Canis lupus familiaris: one gene and its partners. The protein of the gene in region 1 interacts with the protein of each later gene in a pairwise test. Links are inferred from orthologs where the notes say so. Each region holds a gene or a part of one and is shown in the gene's direction. Other genes may lie near its edges.

Region 1 (2,737 bases):
CCACTCTCTCTGTCTCCCTGCTCAGATTCCGGCACACAGCCTGGTGGAGTTCCGAGTGCTCCCACTGGCCCCCTAGGACCCCCTGGTCATGGCCAGACCCTGGGTAAGAGTGAGGGTATCAGAGCAGGCAAGCTCTGGGTAGAGAAGGGGTAGGGCCGACTGGGTGGGTTGAAGGGGGTCCAGGTTCAAGGTTACATCAGACCCGCCCCCCAGGCTCCACCCTCATCCAGCTGCCCTCCCTGCCCCCTGAGTTCATGCACGCCGTCGCCCACCAGATCACTCATCAGGCCATGGTGGCAGCTGTTGCCTCCGCGGCCGCAGGTAATAACCCGGAAGGGGAAGCTTGGGAGGTGGGGCACGGTCCATGGTGGCGGGTGCTGTCGGCTAGCAGGCCAGGGCCCGGCCCTCAGCCCTCTTCGGTCTCCCCTCTGCCACCCACAGGACAGCAGGTGCCAGGCTTCCCTACGGCTCCGACCCGGGTGGTGATTGCCCGGCCCACCCCTCCACAGGCTCGGCCTTCCCATCCTGGGGGGCCCCCCGTCTCGGGTACTCTAGTGAGTAAGGATGGAGGAGCTCTCGTTGGGGGGAGTCTGGGGAAAGAATCCTCGTGGGGAATGGGCAGGGCAGGACTGAAAGCTGTTTCTGTCTCCCTCCAGCAGGGCTCCGGGCTAGGTACCAATGCTTCTCTGGCCCAGATGGTGAGCGGCCTTGTGGGGCAGCTCCTGATGCAGCCTGTTCTGGTGGGTGAGTCCTTGTTCTTGCCCGTCTCAACCTGAAGGGATGTCCACCACCCTGGAGGCCGGTGCTCCTCAGTCTCCTGACGAGCGCTTCCCAGTTTTCTCCACAGATCCTTTTTCCTTGCCTTCCTGTTGACAAGACCAGAATGAGATGCTGTGGTGTCTCGTTTCTCTACAGAGTTCAACTTTTCTCTTTTGGTCTCTCCAGCTCAGGGGACCCCAGGAATGGCTCCACCTCCAGCCCCTGCCACTGCTTCAGCTAGTGCCGGCACTACCAACACCGCTACCACAGCTGGCCCTGCTCCCGGGGGGCCTGCCCAGCCTCCTCCCCCTCAGCCCTCGGCCGCCGACCTGCAGTTCTCTCAGCTCCTGGGGAACTTGCTGGGGCCAGCAGGGCCTGGGGCCGGCGGGCCTGGCATGGCTTCTCCCACCATCACCGTGGCCATGCCCGGCGTCCCCGCCTTTCTACAGGGCATGACTGACTTTCTGCAGGTGAGTTGCTGGCTTGCTCTTTGGCTCCCCCCCACACCTGCTGGTCCAGCCAGGTGCTGGTGCCTTGTTTCTGTGATGTTGCTGCTGGGCTACGGTCCCTGGTGGCCTGTCGATGGGAGGGAGCCCTGGGACCTCATTGATTCCGATTCCCCACCTATCCCCATTTGGGAGAAGCAGCAGCTGAGGCTATGAGGACATAGTACTTGGCATTGCTGTTTTGTAACCTAATGCGTTCAGGGGGAGAGGGGCTGGAGCCCCACCTAAGTCTGCTGCTATGTCACCACATGTGTTCATTCTGCTCCAGGGAGGAAAGACCACAGTGGGGCTCTCCTGTTGGGCTTCTCTCAGCCTGTGCCTTTCTGGTGTCTCGTCCCCGTTTTCACCTTGTCTTCTGTTGTGTGTTCTCTGTTTGCCAGGCAGCACAGACAGCCCCTCCACCCCCGCCGCCGCCGCCGCCCCCGCCCCCAGCACCGGAGCAGCAGACTGTGCCCCCACCAGGGTCCCCTTCTGGTGGCACAGGGAGTCCTGGAGGCCTGGGTCTTGAGAGCCTTTCACCGGAGTTTTTTACATCTGTGGTGCAGGGTGTGCTGAACTCCCTGCTGGGCTCCCTGGGGGCGCGGGCCGGCAGCAGTGAGAGCATCGCTGCTTTCATCCAGCGCCTCAGCGGATCCAGTAACATCTTCGAGCCTGGGGCAGATGGGGCCCTCGGTGAGCCATCGAGGGTGCCTTGGTCTTCTCCAGGGAGGGGAGGGGAGGGGAGGTTGATGACCTTTGTCAAGGAGTGTTGCTGGAGCTGGATGAGGTCGATGGGTTGGTGGTGCACAGGCAGGGCAGGGGGTAAAGGCCACTGCTGACTTCAGCCCCTGTCCCTAGGATTCTTCGGGGCCCTGCTTTCTCTTTTGTGCCAGAACTTTTCCATGGTAGACGTGGTGATGCTTCTTCACGGCCATTTCCAGCCACTGCAGCGGCTCCAGCCCCAGCTGCGGTCCTTTTTCCACCAGCACTACCTGGGTGGCCAAGAGCCCACACCCGGTAACATACGGGTAAATGAAGGCCGGGGGCCGCCGCATGCTCCTCTTCAGCTTCTCTTTCTTGACTCCACTCTGTCACCTAAAGTGCCGATCGCTCCAGCCTGAGCCCTGCACTTACTGGAGGTGGAGGGGAGGGCATGTCTCACAGGCCAGGGTGGGGGATCTGAACTCCTGCTGTTTTGCCCTTAGACGGCGACCCACACATTGATCACGGGGCTGGAAGAATACGTGCGGGAGAGTTTCGTGAGTTCCTCATCTCCCGGGGGGCCGGGGTAGCTGCTGTTCCTCCCACCGCCTCGGAGCGAATGTAGTCTTCCAGGCTCCCTGATTTGGGGGTCTCCGTGTGTCTTGGTTTTCAGTCTTTGGTGCAGGTTCAGCCTGGTGTGGACATCATCCGGACCAACCTGGAGTTTCTCCAGGAGCAGTTCAACAGCATTGCTGCTCATGTGCTGCACTGCACAGGTGAGGGCGGCCAGG
Region 2 (4,092 bases), on another chromosome or scaffold:
TGGAAGGAAAAGTAATGGCCTGTTCCTGGATAAATCACATTATGATCTGAGTAATATGGAGAAATAATAATTTGGTAGCCAACAGTACTTGTGATGGATGTTTGCTGGTGTCACCACAGGGATAGAAAAGCATTGATTGAATGATAGTCTTGGATATTCAGACTTATTATTTATGAATTGCATAGTAGAGTAAGAAGAAAGATCATGCTTTTGTGCTGCATGACTGTTTTGGAAAATGATCTCTAATAGTGTTAAGTTAAAAGCTGGAAATGAGTTTGCATATGTAATATTATAACCCAAGATTTAGAAAACATTTAGAGATGCCTAGATGGGCAATTAAGGATTTTAGTGAATTAGGAGATTATGGCCTATGGCAATCATCAGGGCTGTCAGCGAGCTCCAGCCCCATTAGGACACTGAAAGAGGTTAACAGCATTCTTGAAAGTTTTCCTGATGAATTCCTTCTAAAGTCATCTACATTCATTTTATTTCTTTTTCATAAATTTATCAGAAATAACATTACATTTAGTTATCAATAGTGAATATTTAATAGTAACTGGAACAAATTTTCCATTTCTCTTCTCAGAGATGACTGATGAATAATACAATGTATTTAATATCTGATTGCCATTGAGGTGATTGATTTGAACTAGAAGAATGAGATCAAAACCCATTAAATTATGTGTCCATTTTTTATTAATGAACTGTCAGTAGAGAAAATCATGTAAAAGTCTAAAAACATATAAAAGTAACACTGATGTTTATTATCAAATTAGCTATGTTTAATAGTGTTATCTTCATTTAATTTGGTAAATCAATAATCTTAATCTGGTCTTTTTGTTCAACATAGGGAGTTTATTTCTTCAACATCCACTCTTTTTGCTAAGAATTAAAATGTAACCACAGGAAATTCCTGTGACTATTGTATAATTTGATGAATTGTTGAGAACTCTGCAAATGCGGCAGCAATTTGTCTGTGCATTCTGGACTTGATTTAGCTTTATCCTTTTTCTCATAGGCATTCTAAAATATTTATGATGGCATACACTGGTAATCTGATGTGTGAGTCCTGTGAGAAACAAAAAGAACTAATTACTAGCAAATTTACAAGCCCTGGTACATTCTTCCAAATTCTGTTTCTACTTACTATATAAAAGAAGTGGAATAATGGATGAAATTTTAGAAGTTTAATGATTTTTAAAAATTCTATTGTCATTTTATTTCTCAATTCTTGCCAGTTGTATCATTGATCATTAACCTGGTCATGTTAGTTCTTTTATACAAATGTAGTGAACACCTGCTTTGGGTTTAGAGGAATTAATCATACAATGTTCAAGATAAATAAAGCTGGCCTTGACTGATTGGGTATTTTATGTACTAGTGTTTCTCAGCAGGCACATTATAGTTATATAACATTACAGTGAATAATCAGAAGCCAATTTTGGGTAAGTACCTCAAAATTAAATAGCTTTTGAGTAAAGTACATATGCAATAATATTGATCATGAGTGTTTAATAGAGTAGGGGAATGGTATTTCAATTCACTTTGATACAGATATTATTTAAATTTATCAAATTAACACATTACTTTTATTCTCCTCAACTGGCATAATTATAAATTTGAAGGTCGGATTCTTATAAGAATGTTGTTTAGTTCACCAGTACTTCATGCTTCCTGATGAGATAAGATCCAAAACCCAATGATGTAAGTGAATTTTTAAAACAATTTTTTTGGTGTAAGCTTGTAATTTATTTAATGCCTAGAAATTTTCTGGGAAAATTGGATGATCAAATAATGTAAATTTTAATTATTAAGATCATTCATAATAATGAGAGGATGCCCCTCTGATTCTACTATAGGGGAAAAATTGTATCCTTCATAATATTGTTTATTATTCTAATACAAATAAAATGCATCAGGATGTGCCTAATGAATTGCCACTTGATGACTTAAAAGTACTAATAACGCTTTGCTTATATATCTACAAACTGATATTTTCAATCATAAATCTTCTGAGATATTGAATAGATTAGAAAATGATTCACTGAAATTTATTTCATGTATAAAACTTTTCTTACTCACTGGCTGTTACTATTGTTGCACTGACTCACAACCTTATGTATTAATTTAATCCTCAATAAAACGTGGTTTGATAGTATATATCTATATTTGCAGTTTGCCAAAACAATTTTTTTAAAACAATTTATTTCAATTGCATTTTGAGGTCTTTTTCCTTTGCAAATTGTATATCTAAACAGAGTTTAATTACAAATATTAGAATGCAATTTGAAGTAGTTGGCTAATGACTCCATATCTTAGTTTTAGAGAATATTTGACTATTAGTAAGCTTTATATCTAATAGTGACTCTTAACCCATTTATGGGTCATGCTGACCCTTCTAGTTGTCTGCAGAACACTTTGGAAATATAGTTCTTCATTTTTTAAGGCTGACAATACATTGTTCTGGAGCCCTTCATCTTTACCTTCAATAAATGGTTACTGCCTAGTAACCTTTTAATCTAGGAATTATTAAGGATTACTAAAATGAATTTTTTGCAAGGTAAAATTAGTGTTACTAAAATTTATAAGGATTTCGGAGTCAGCATTTTGTGAGGTCTGTGATAATATTGCAAAACTCATTCTTAAGATGTAATCAGGTGGCTGAATTTCCTGTACTTTTAGTGGAGAGCACTGTCATAGGGTGTCAGTAGTGTTGTGAATTGGCTTAAGGTTCCAATTGTAACTTTCTTAAATGTGTTAGTCAAATTATTCTTTGATTTTTTTTAATTGCTTTCTTCTTTTGTTATTGTTGTACCACTTATATTTGATTGTAATTGTGTTTCTTTACAATTTTTCTGAGTTTGTTTTTCCTCACTTTGAATAAAGTACATGGTGGATTTTGGGGTATTTTGCCCTCCAGAAGTGAGATTCCATAAAGTGTGAAAATTCCTACTGCAAAGACTTTGCCAGATTACTCGAACTAATTTAGAAAGTATTGACTTTCTAGTATTATAGATCAAAACCACAGTAGAGTGTCTTCCTTTTTTTTTTTATTGTTTCTCTTTTGATCTACAAACCTTTTTAGAGTAGTGTAGACAGAGGATTTCCTTGATAAAGAGCTAGAAGTGATCCCATTTAAAACAATGGGAAAGGGGATCCCTGGGTGGTTCAATGGTTTAGTGTCTGCCTTCGGCCGGGGGCGTGATCCTGGAGTCCCGGGTTCGAGTCCCGCATCTGGCTCCCTGCATGGAGCCTGCTTCTTCCTCTACCTGTGTCTCTGCTTCTTTTTCTCTATCTCTCATGAATAAATAAAATCTTAAAAAAAAATAAAACAATGGGAAAAATAGGAAAAAGTATCACATAGCTATTTAGAGATAGATTTGCTATTGATAGTGTCCCAGGATTACAGGTTCTCCTTTGATTTTAGAAGACTGCTTTATATTTTGGACTAGTTCTTGAAAGAATATGATAATGCTATTAGCACATGGCCTATTTCCCCTAATAGATGATGCTGAGTCTGAAAATTGGCATGAGAATCTTCTTGTAATAGTCTGTCCTAATAGTTAGAAAGTTTTATGTTGGAACTTACTTTGGTTAAACTCTGATTATTTTGAAAAACTAATGAATTTTGAATTAATGCACAGAGGTCAAAATGAATAAGATCTTGTTGTGGAGTCTCCTATTGATTTTTTCTGGAAGTCAAGCTTCAAGACCCTTGGTTCAAAGAAATGTCGAATTTGCAGTGGATCTTTATCAAACTATTTGTTTATCTCATGAGAACAACATTATATTTTCCCCCCTCGGAACAACTTTGGTTCTTGGGATGATACAACTGGGAGCAAAAGGAAGAGCACAACAGCAGATAAGACAAACTTTAAAACTTCAGGAAAACTCAACTGGTGAGATTCTTACATATGATTATTTATAATGGATAAGATCTGGCCAAATTTATTTTGAAAATTAGAGAGAAGCTTGGGGTTGCAGAATTTAAATACATGGAAAATGTTATCAAAAGCATAAAATTATAATAAAATAGAGAATTTTAAATAATTTTATTTAAATTGTTTCCTAATGAAAATGTTACCAGAAGAA
Region 3 (4,204 bases), on another chromosome or scaffold:
AGCTATTTTCGACTGGCTAGTCAGGGAGGTCTTCTCTGAAGTAGTGACATTTCAACTGATCTGAGTGTAAAAAGCAGTCACCCAAGTTAGAAACTAAGGGAAGAGTGCTTCAGGCAAAGAGAATAGCAAGAATAGAGGCCTTAGGGAGGAATGAATTTTGTGTATTCATAAAAAGAAAAAACCAGGTTTGCTGGAACATTCCAAGGAGTATATACTAGGTGAGGGCACAGATCCTATCAGGCTTTAACTATTTTTTCCCCCAGCTTTATGAAAGCACACAGAGTTTTATAAGCTATCATAAAGAGCTGGGGTTTTATTTTAAGTGCAATGACAAGCTATTCGAGGCTTTTGAGTAGGAGAATGACATGGTCTGACACGTTTGCAAAAAATCATGCGGTTGGGGGTCAGGAGTGAACAAGAGAGTGTAATATATTAAGAGTGGAGGCAGGGAGACCACGTAGGAAGGCTTGCCAGGGGAGAGATGACGTGACCTGGCCTAGAGAGGTAGTGGAGATGTACAGCCGTGGACAGATTGAGGCTATAGTTTAAAAGCAAAGATGTGGATAGAGGATATAGGGGCGGAATCAAGGAAGATACCTAGAATTTTGTCATGAACAAGTAGGTGGGGGGAATCAAAGAGTTCTACACTGCGTGCCTGCTGTGCTAGACAGTTTACAGCTTTTCTCCCATTAAATTTCACAACACTGCCAGTAAAATGTTTTGCCCTCGGGTTTGTAAATGAAGCTTAGGCTTGACGGGGGCAAGGGAAGGAGGATGTTCTCACCGCTAAGAAGTGATGGAAGCTGAATCCGAATCTAAGTCTGTCTGCCCCCACGGCCTCTTCTCCGTGCAAACCGAGGCAATTTTCTTCGGGGCTTGTTCCAAGAGGGTAAAGTAAGATCTCTTAAGCCGTGCGTCCGCCCCACCGTTGGCGCAGAGTAGTTGTCCCCGCCCATTTCTCCGGTGACCCTTTGCTCCCGCACCCAGCGTAAAGCTCCGGATGAATGAAATTCCCAGACTCGTCACCAGGTAAGTCCTCCCTCCCGTAATTGGTCAGTGCTGGAGGAGGAGCCTCGTGATTGGTGGAGAGCCCGAGGTGGGCGGGGAGGGGCGGGACTCCTGGACCCCACCGCCTTTTTACGCAGTTTTCCGCGACTCGTGGCTACCGGGGCCGAGCGGAAGCCCGCGGCGGCGCGTCTCTCTGACGTTTCCTCCTCTAATTGGCCCGGAGCTGCGGCTGCAATTCGGAGGCCTAACTGGCCGGCCGCGCCGCCTCGGAGGTGAAGTGTACCGCGCTGATTGGCTGCGCGGCGCCGGCCGCGTGTGATGTCCCGAGCAGCGATTGGCTCTCGCCGGCTGCGGGGCTTCTCTCCCGGGGACTCGGGACTCCCGGGAAGTGGACTGGCCGAGGAGGGGGCGAGCTCGCCGTCGCTCGGGACCGAGGGGTGACCCCGGGGAGAGGCGGCCTCTGGGCACCGGGCGGGGGGTGGGGGGCCGGTGAGCCGACGCGGCGGCGGGGCGGAGCGCGTGGGCGAGGGGCCGGCACGGAGGCGGGCGCCGAGAGACCATGGCCCCGCAGAACCTGGGCACCCTCTGCCTGTTGCTGCTGTACCTCCTCGGGGCCGCGATCGCCGGGTGAGGACCGGGCGCCCTCGGGCACGGGGCCGGTGGGTCGGTGCGTCTGGGCTGCGGGAGGAGGGGGTGTGCGGGGCGGCGGAGAGGGGCGCAGGGCCGGAGGCCCTTCCAGCGGGATGTGGATGCGGTGCGGGACGGCCCGTGGGGGGGGGGGGGGCGCGGGGTGCTGCTGAGCCGAAGAGGAGGACCGGGTACGTGGACAGCCCGCAACAAGCCCCTGGGCGGGGGGGGGGGGGGGGGGGAGGCGGCGGTACTGCGAGGCTGAGCGAGCAAGGGAGAACAGGTAGGGGAGCCATGCCGGGGCCGAAGGAAATGGGATGGAGGCAGCGAGGCGGGCCCTGGAGAGTGCTTGTCCTTCCTGGCTCCTGGCGATAACGGAGCCTTAGCTGCCCTCCTGCTTCACGGCCTCTCCATGGCACGTTCCTGAGAAGCCTCCTAATCTCAGGAACAGGAAGGGCATTTCACCGACAGACAGCGAGCTGGCATTCAAGACCCCGCATCCCCACCCCACCTGCGAGTTTCGTGACTCTGAGTTCTCATCTGTATCATGAAGATAATAAGGTGCCCCCCCCCCCGTACGAAGGGAGTAGGAAGGACCACCTGAACCCTCAGGGATGCGTGCAGCCTTTTAGATCTACGATCCTAAAGCTCGGTGACCGCAGGATATGACGTGCCGGGCTCACATTTGAGTATATGGGGGAAACAGTGAAGTCTTAGCTTCTAACAATTCCTAAGTTTCCCTCACTGTAGGGGATGCTACTTAGCAAAGCTTTAAACTTCAAAGCGCTTGTTATTTCTTAAAAGTGTTCTTTTCCCCCCGTGCTTATATGCTTAAACTTTGTTGTCATTTTTTTTTCTGGTGAAACATTTTAAATTGCTAAATAATAATAATAATGATTTCTTCTAGGTAATGCTTTATTGTTTTTTTTTAGTATGTTTTTGTTAGTACTTCACTTAAAGCAACACATACATACCCTAAGATATGGGTCAGTCTGAGTATTGTTAATTCTGTAGCTTTAAACGCCAGCCTTTTTATAGAGAAGTCTTTGGGGAACTGTAACATTGATGCTGAACTATGCCAGCTCTCTTTTCCCTGATTATTCTGGACTGTTACTGACCCATTTTTATATTAAGCATATTCTAAGTAAGCCTCATTCTTTAAACAGCTCTTTTGTTATTAATTTTGGTGAACCTTTTGATTTATTTAGTCCCTTGTCTCTAGATCTTAGGGGTGTTTGCAGATTTGGGGGGGGGATGGGGAGGATAAAACGTCTAATTAATTCTCATTGGGGATGATAATTTTACAGACTTAGACCTGAAATGATTATATGACTTTCCAAAGTGCAACAAAGAACTTATGAAATCATTTTTTCCATGTTCTGTCATATATCACTTGGCACCTCAATGCATTTTATCCCCATTGCATTTTAAAGTCACCATCACTACTGTAGTAGTGTGTCCATTGTGGACAACTTTCCCATTCCCTGTGTTGAGAAATGCATTTTCAGAATAATTTTTTTTTCAGAATAATTTTTGATGGCTAAAATGACTCTGGCAAAAGGAGTAGGTTTTTGTGAGCATGCTTATTTATTCATTTCATTCAGTAAATATTTATTGGTGTCTTCTATGGGCTACAGTCCCTACCCTTGAAGTTTATTATGGTCTGTTTTATGCATTGGCCCTTCTTGCAAATACTCCTTTTATAATTACTTTAGCAGAGTCCCTTGCAAGGAGGTCAGTGAATCTGTACCTTATCTCCCTGCTCATGCTGTATGCATATTTGTAGCTGCTGAGACTTACAGGCTTCTGCATATGGGCTTCAGCAGCTGTCTATAATTACGACTTGACCAAGACAAACCAGTATAGCCACTAAAAATGACTGCAAGATTGATATTTTCTCTCACTTTTAGCAAAAAACACCACAACTCCTACATCCAGGTAGAGGTTATTCTTTCTCAGAGTTCTTAACTGGATTTTGGCTTAACTTCTATGTTAACCTCTGAAGTTAATTTCAGTTGCTTCATGTTTAACATTCTAAACAAAGCTACGGTTAGAACTTTTACATGATGTGATCTTTTTGAATAAAGAAAATCATCCTTTGGTTATTATTTGACCTTTGGACATAGCCAGAAGTCATTTGAAGTCACTAATAGAGGGAAGGAAAAAAGAGAGAGTTAATTCGATTGTACAGTTACTGGTTGAAAATAACATGTGACCATAAATAAGGAAATAGTTCTCTTGTCTGAAAGGGTCTAAGAGAAGTATGCCACAGATGTTTTGAATAATTGTAGCAAAGTTCAAAAAGTTCATGGCCTCTCATTGTGATTACTTCAATATGTAAGATTCCTTACAAATTCTGACGGGCTCTTTTTAGTCATTCTTTTTTGTGTGTCACATGTATGCCTTCATTTTCCTACCTCTTTGCTCATATACAAACCTAAAAGCAAAGGAAAAAAATTTCACTTTTAAAAACATACTGTAGAACTCTTTAATGAAGTACCCTCTCCCCCTCCCTATTCCCTAGGCGAGATTTCTATAAGATCTTGGGGGTGCCTCGCAGCGCCTCTAT
Region 4 (4,052 bases), on another chromosome or scaffold:
ATGTGGGAATTTCAAAACTCAGGATTATTTAAGAAACAACAGCAAATGCTAGAGGAAAAAATTACTGGTTTAAGTGAATTGAAAAAAGTTATTTTTTATATGCAGTATACTAAAAAAATCAGGGTTAATTGAAAAATATAATACTTACTTAACAAGGAGGAGAAAACAACTGCCTCCCTCAAGACACCTCATTTAATTCATTGAGAGATGAAAGAAATGTGTCTGCAAGGTGAAACCGTGGGCTCATGGAAAGCTGAGATTTCTGTACAGATGCTATTTGTCTAATAGTTTTCGTATTGCCAATGACCATCCGATTAGCATCTTCACTACACTGATTTCCATTTACGGGAGAAATCTATGAATGATCTGTAGAGTCCTTCGGTGACACCCAGGCAGGCTTCTGTACACTGCCTCGCCGGTTTCTTAGTCTTCAGCGAGAAAGGGTAGGAGAGAAGCAAATACGTCCTCTTCCAACCCCTGCTCCTGGATGTGCGAAGGAAGAGGGTTTTGCTAGCTTGGAATAAAAGATATCCTAGAATGGCACCGATAGGAAAGTTCTACGTGTGTCGCCACGTTTAAATTCTCCTTTCTCCAAAATGTGAAATAAATCTGCTTCCATCGTCTGAAATGCTATGGGACTGATAATCCTTCTGTAACGCCGGAGAAACGCCCGTGTCGTAGCTGATTTGGGAGAAGGATGCTCTGCTCACAGGAGATGCCAGATCTCAGAAACACTAGGGCACTCTGCAGGTGAAAGAGGAGGGGGGAAAGCCTCCCCCCACCCCCCTTGAAATGCTCCTCTTAGTAGGATCTCCGACGACAGTATCCTAATACCTTCAGTTATCTGGCCGTCCTTAAAAGTGCAACTTCTCCTGACGTCTCAAGGGACGAAAAAGTTGCGGAAGTCCGAGGAATGAGTCACTTCGCTCAATTTTGATGAGTAATTTCAGGTGTCATGGAACCTCGCTCCGAAGGAGAGGGGAGGGGGCGTCAGATCTGCAGACGGAAGAAGACTGGCCGCTCGGGATTGGATGGCGAGAGCTTGGCTTTTCCTAAAATTGCGTCATTTCGAACCCGATTGGGTCCAGATGTTTCGGGCACCGACGGGTTACCGTCTCGGAAACTCTCGATCAGACGCAAGCAAAGGAGAAGAGGCGGGTAATTAAATATTGAGCAGAAAGTCGCGTGGGGAGCGAGTCACGTGGTCCCCGAGGCTCGTCGAGCGTCGGATAAATACCGCGCGGCACGGAGCCGCCGAAGGAGCGCGCAGCCGCTGCCGCCGCCACCGCCTCCCCCGCCGCGGCAGCCTAAGGGCCGAGCGCCCCGCGTGCGCCCCGAGCAGCCCGAGGAACCCCGCCGGCCCGCCCGCCGCAGTAAGTGCCCGCGCCGCGCCGCGCCGCGCTGCGCTCCCAGGTGGCGGCTGGCGGCGCTGGAGGGGCCCCCGGGGCGGGGGGCACAGCGGGGACGCGGGTGCCCCAAACGCCAGCGTCCCTCTGTTTTCCACCTGCAGGGAGAGCCTCCCGGCCTGGAGGTGCGGATCGGAGGGTCGGGGACTGAGGGAGTTGGGACCGAGGGAGAAGGGGATTTGAGAAACGCTGGGGCGTGATTCTCTTTCCTAAACGGTACACGGGGTGCTGTAGGGTCCCCCACCCCACCCCGCCCCGTTAGGCTTTTTATCTTGGTTCAGCCGGCCCTGACTTGCGTTGTGGGACCAAAAATCATACCGCAACTCTTGGAGCGCCTTCTCCAATATTTCTCCCCCGGCCTCTTCTTCCCCAGTCCTCCCAGGAATCCAACATGAAAATCCTCGTGGCCTTGGCCGTCTTTTTTCTCGTGTCCACTCAGCTGTTTGCAGAAGAAATCGGAGCCAACGATGATCTGAATTACTGGTCCGACTGGTCCGACAGCGACCAGATCAAGGTGAGACCCTGCCCCTAGCCGGCCCGCGCCGCTCTTCCCGGCCTCGGGAGCTGTCACCGCCCCCGCGATAGCGCTCCAGTGAGCCTGGCAGGCCGGGCGACCGCGACCGCGACCGCGACCGAGACCGCGACCGCGACCGCGACCGCAGGCGGGGAGGAGCGCGGGGAGGAGCGCGGGGAGCGGGACGGAGTGTGAAGGAGCGCCGCGCCCTGGGTCCCCGCACGAGCTCCGTGCGCGCGATCCAAGTTTCCTCCCGGGGACTGCACCGTCGGGTCTCGGGAACTCCTGGAGGAACGATGCCCTCCTTGGTGAGCCCGGGGTCCCCCCAGGACTGGAAACCTCCCGAGGCTGCATCCCGGGGTAACGGGGATTTATTTCGACCCGGGCATTTGGAAACGCAGGGCAGGGGCAGAAGGGGGCGCGCCGGACCCCGGGAGACGCAGGGGCAAAGGGCGAGCTGCTGGGGGCTTCGAGCGGCGAGGCGGGTGGGAGCTGACTTCCTGCTTGGACTTTTATTACCGACTCGAGGACGGAGCTGCAAGTTCTCCTTCATTGGGCTCGCGGGCTGTTGGTGCAAGGGAGCGCCCCGAGGGAACAGAGTCGCGCGGTGCAGGTCGCCGGCAAAGCGTTGTCATCCCTTCCCCGCCGCCGACACACACGTGTGTGCACTCAGGGCGGCCAGGCGTCCCCAGAGCCGGCGCCAGAATCGGGAGAACGGCAGGTGGCCGCGCGGCAGCGGAGTGGGGGGCTCCGGGCTCTGCCAGGAGCGGGGCGCGGGCTGCTCACCGCGGGGGCGGGGCTCGGGGGAGGGGCGGCGCGGGGACCCGAGTTCCGCGGGGGGGGCGAGGTAGGGAGCTCCCGCGCTGGGACCCCACCGACCCCCGCCTGGGGAAGCCCGGCCTCCTGCGGCGCCACCGCCCGCCTCCGAGCTTCGCCCCGGGCTGGCGCGCACCGCTGCAACGACTCGGGGTCGCCCCGGGGCCGCGCGCTGGCTGCCGACACCCGCGTTTGTCTGTGCGTCTGTCCCGCAGGAGGAGCTGCCCGAGCCCTTTGAGCATCTCCTGCAGAGAATCGCCCGGAGACCCAAGCCTCAGCAGTTCTTCGGATTAATGGGCAAACGGGATGCTGGTGAGATGGGCGGCCAACCCCCTCCGTGTCTCTGAGCCACCCTCCCGGGCTCCTGGCTCCTAGAGCGTCCTAGCGCGCCCAGTCTCTCCTGCCCTTTGAGGAGAAATTTCCACGCTAAAATGGATACATCCCCGGGGAGCGACTCTGGCCCTCACCCTGCTAACACACGCACAGGCCCTCGGACGCAGGGAGAGGTCCTGAGAGTGACCCAGATCAAGAACAGGAAGCAGCCTTAGCTGAGGGCCCCCTTGACAGAAGACCCAGCTGCCGGAGGGGAGGCGCGGGGCCTCCAGGGGTAGTAGTCAGAATGGTCCAAGTGCCAGTGGAAACCGGTTGGAGACCTTTGGGGTTAGATTAGATTTCGATCAGATGGAGCTCCCTAATGTCTCCTGATAGAAATAGTCAATTTCCTTGAATTTATCACACCATCGGTGGAATGTGTAAATAGTTACTGTCGATTCATCTTTTGTCAGATTCCTCAATTGAAAAACAAGTGGCCCTGTTAAAAGCTCTTTATGGTAAACATTTCTATAAATCTTTATTTTACTATTGTGAATGTACATATAGGAAACGTAAAGAAAGTCTTTTATGGGCTCAAATACAGATTCTTGATAATGCCTGTTTAGTAAAGGTATAGATTTGTATCCCTCTTTCCTGAGTGTCAAATGGTGGTCCAGCTTGGAGATGTGTTTCTTTTTTTGTTTTGTTTTGTTTTGTTTTGTTTTTAAGTGAGAAAACAGGTGTTGTGGCCTAACAGTTATTATTGTTAGGCCTCGGGGGTCTCATAGTCCTGGGTTTGAATCTGTGGCCCATAGAAGGCACTTAAAAATATTCCTTTTGGTTGCTATTTTGTTTTTATCATTAATAATTTGGTTAGCATTTATGGTATATTCTGCTATATTCCTCAGGATAGTACATGAATGGGAAATATTACATGTTTTAAAAATCAACTTATTTTATAATTCTCTTCTAAAAATATAATGTAGCATTTTAAAACAAATCTA

The links.
Region 2: the proteins of BAG6 (region 1) and SERPINI2 interact in a two-hybrid assay, tested with the Homo sapiens proteins (2 studies listed by BioGRID and IntAct). The two-hybrid records come from large-scale screens. The link is inferred for Canis lupus familiaris from reciprocal best matches to the Homo sapiens genes BAG6 and SERPINI2.
Region 3: the proteins of BAG6 (region 1) and DNAJB11 interact in a two-hybrid assay, tested with the Homo sapiens proteins (2 studies listed by BioGRID and IntAct). The link is inferred for Canis lupus familiaris from reciprocal best matches to the Homo sapiens genes BAG6 and DNAJB11.
Region 4: the proteins of BAG6 (region 1) and TAC1 interact in a two-hybrid assay, tested with the Homo sapiens proteins (2 studies listed by BioGRID and IntAct). The link is inferred for Canis lupus familiaris from reciprocal best matches to the Homo sapiens genes BAG6 and TAC1.

Annotation. Positions count from the first base shown.
Region 1 is NC_049233.1:1,267,881-1,270,617, reverse strand, and holds part of BAG6 (large proline-rich protein BAG6), read left to right. Parts: intron 1-25; coding exon 26-103; intron 104-213; coding exon 214-321; intron 322-441; coding exon 442-554; intron 555-656; coding exon 657-744; intron 745-945; coding exon 946-1,229; intron 1,230-1,645; coding exon 1,646-1,937; intron 1,938-2,102; coding exon 2,103-2,272; intron 2,273-2,449; coding exon 2,450-2,503; intron 2,504-2,619; coding exon 2,620-2,722; intron 2,723-2,737. UniProt on the Homo sapiens protein: ATP-independent molecular chaperone preventing the aggregation of misfolded and hydrophobic patches-containing proteins.
Region 2 is NC_049255.1:32,604,472-32,608,563, reverse strand, and holds the start of SERPINI2 (serpin I2), read left to right. Parts: upstream 1-1,292; 5' UTR 1,293-1,445; intron 1,446-1,625; exon of another isoform or gene 1,626-1,704; intron 1,705-3,644; 5' UTR 3,645-3,652; coding exon 3,653-3,899; intron 3,900-4,092.
Region 3 is NC_049255.1:19,355,498-19,359,701, forward strand, and holds the start of DNAJB11 (dnaJ homolog subfamily B member 11), read left to right. Parts: upstream 1-1,404; 5' UTR 1,405-1,567; coding exon 1,568-1,635; intron 1,636-4,159; coding exon 4,160-4,204. UniProt on the Homo sapiens protein: As a co-chaperone for HSPA5 it is required for proper folding, trafficking or degradation of proteins.
Region 4 is NC_049235.1:22,592,765-22,596,816, forward strand, and holds the start of TAC1 (protachykinin-1), read left to right. Parts: upstream 1-1,252; 5' UTR 1,253-1,373; intron 1,374-1,779; 5' UTR 1,780-1,797; coding exon 1,798-1,920; intron 1,921-2,951; coding exon 2,952-3,048; intron 3,049-3,521; coding exon 3,522-3,566; intron 3,567-4,052. UniProt on the Homo sapiens protein: Tachykinins are active peptides which excite neurons, evoke behavioral responses, are potent vasodilators and secretagogues, and contract (directly or indirectly) many smooth muscles.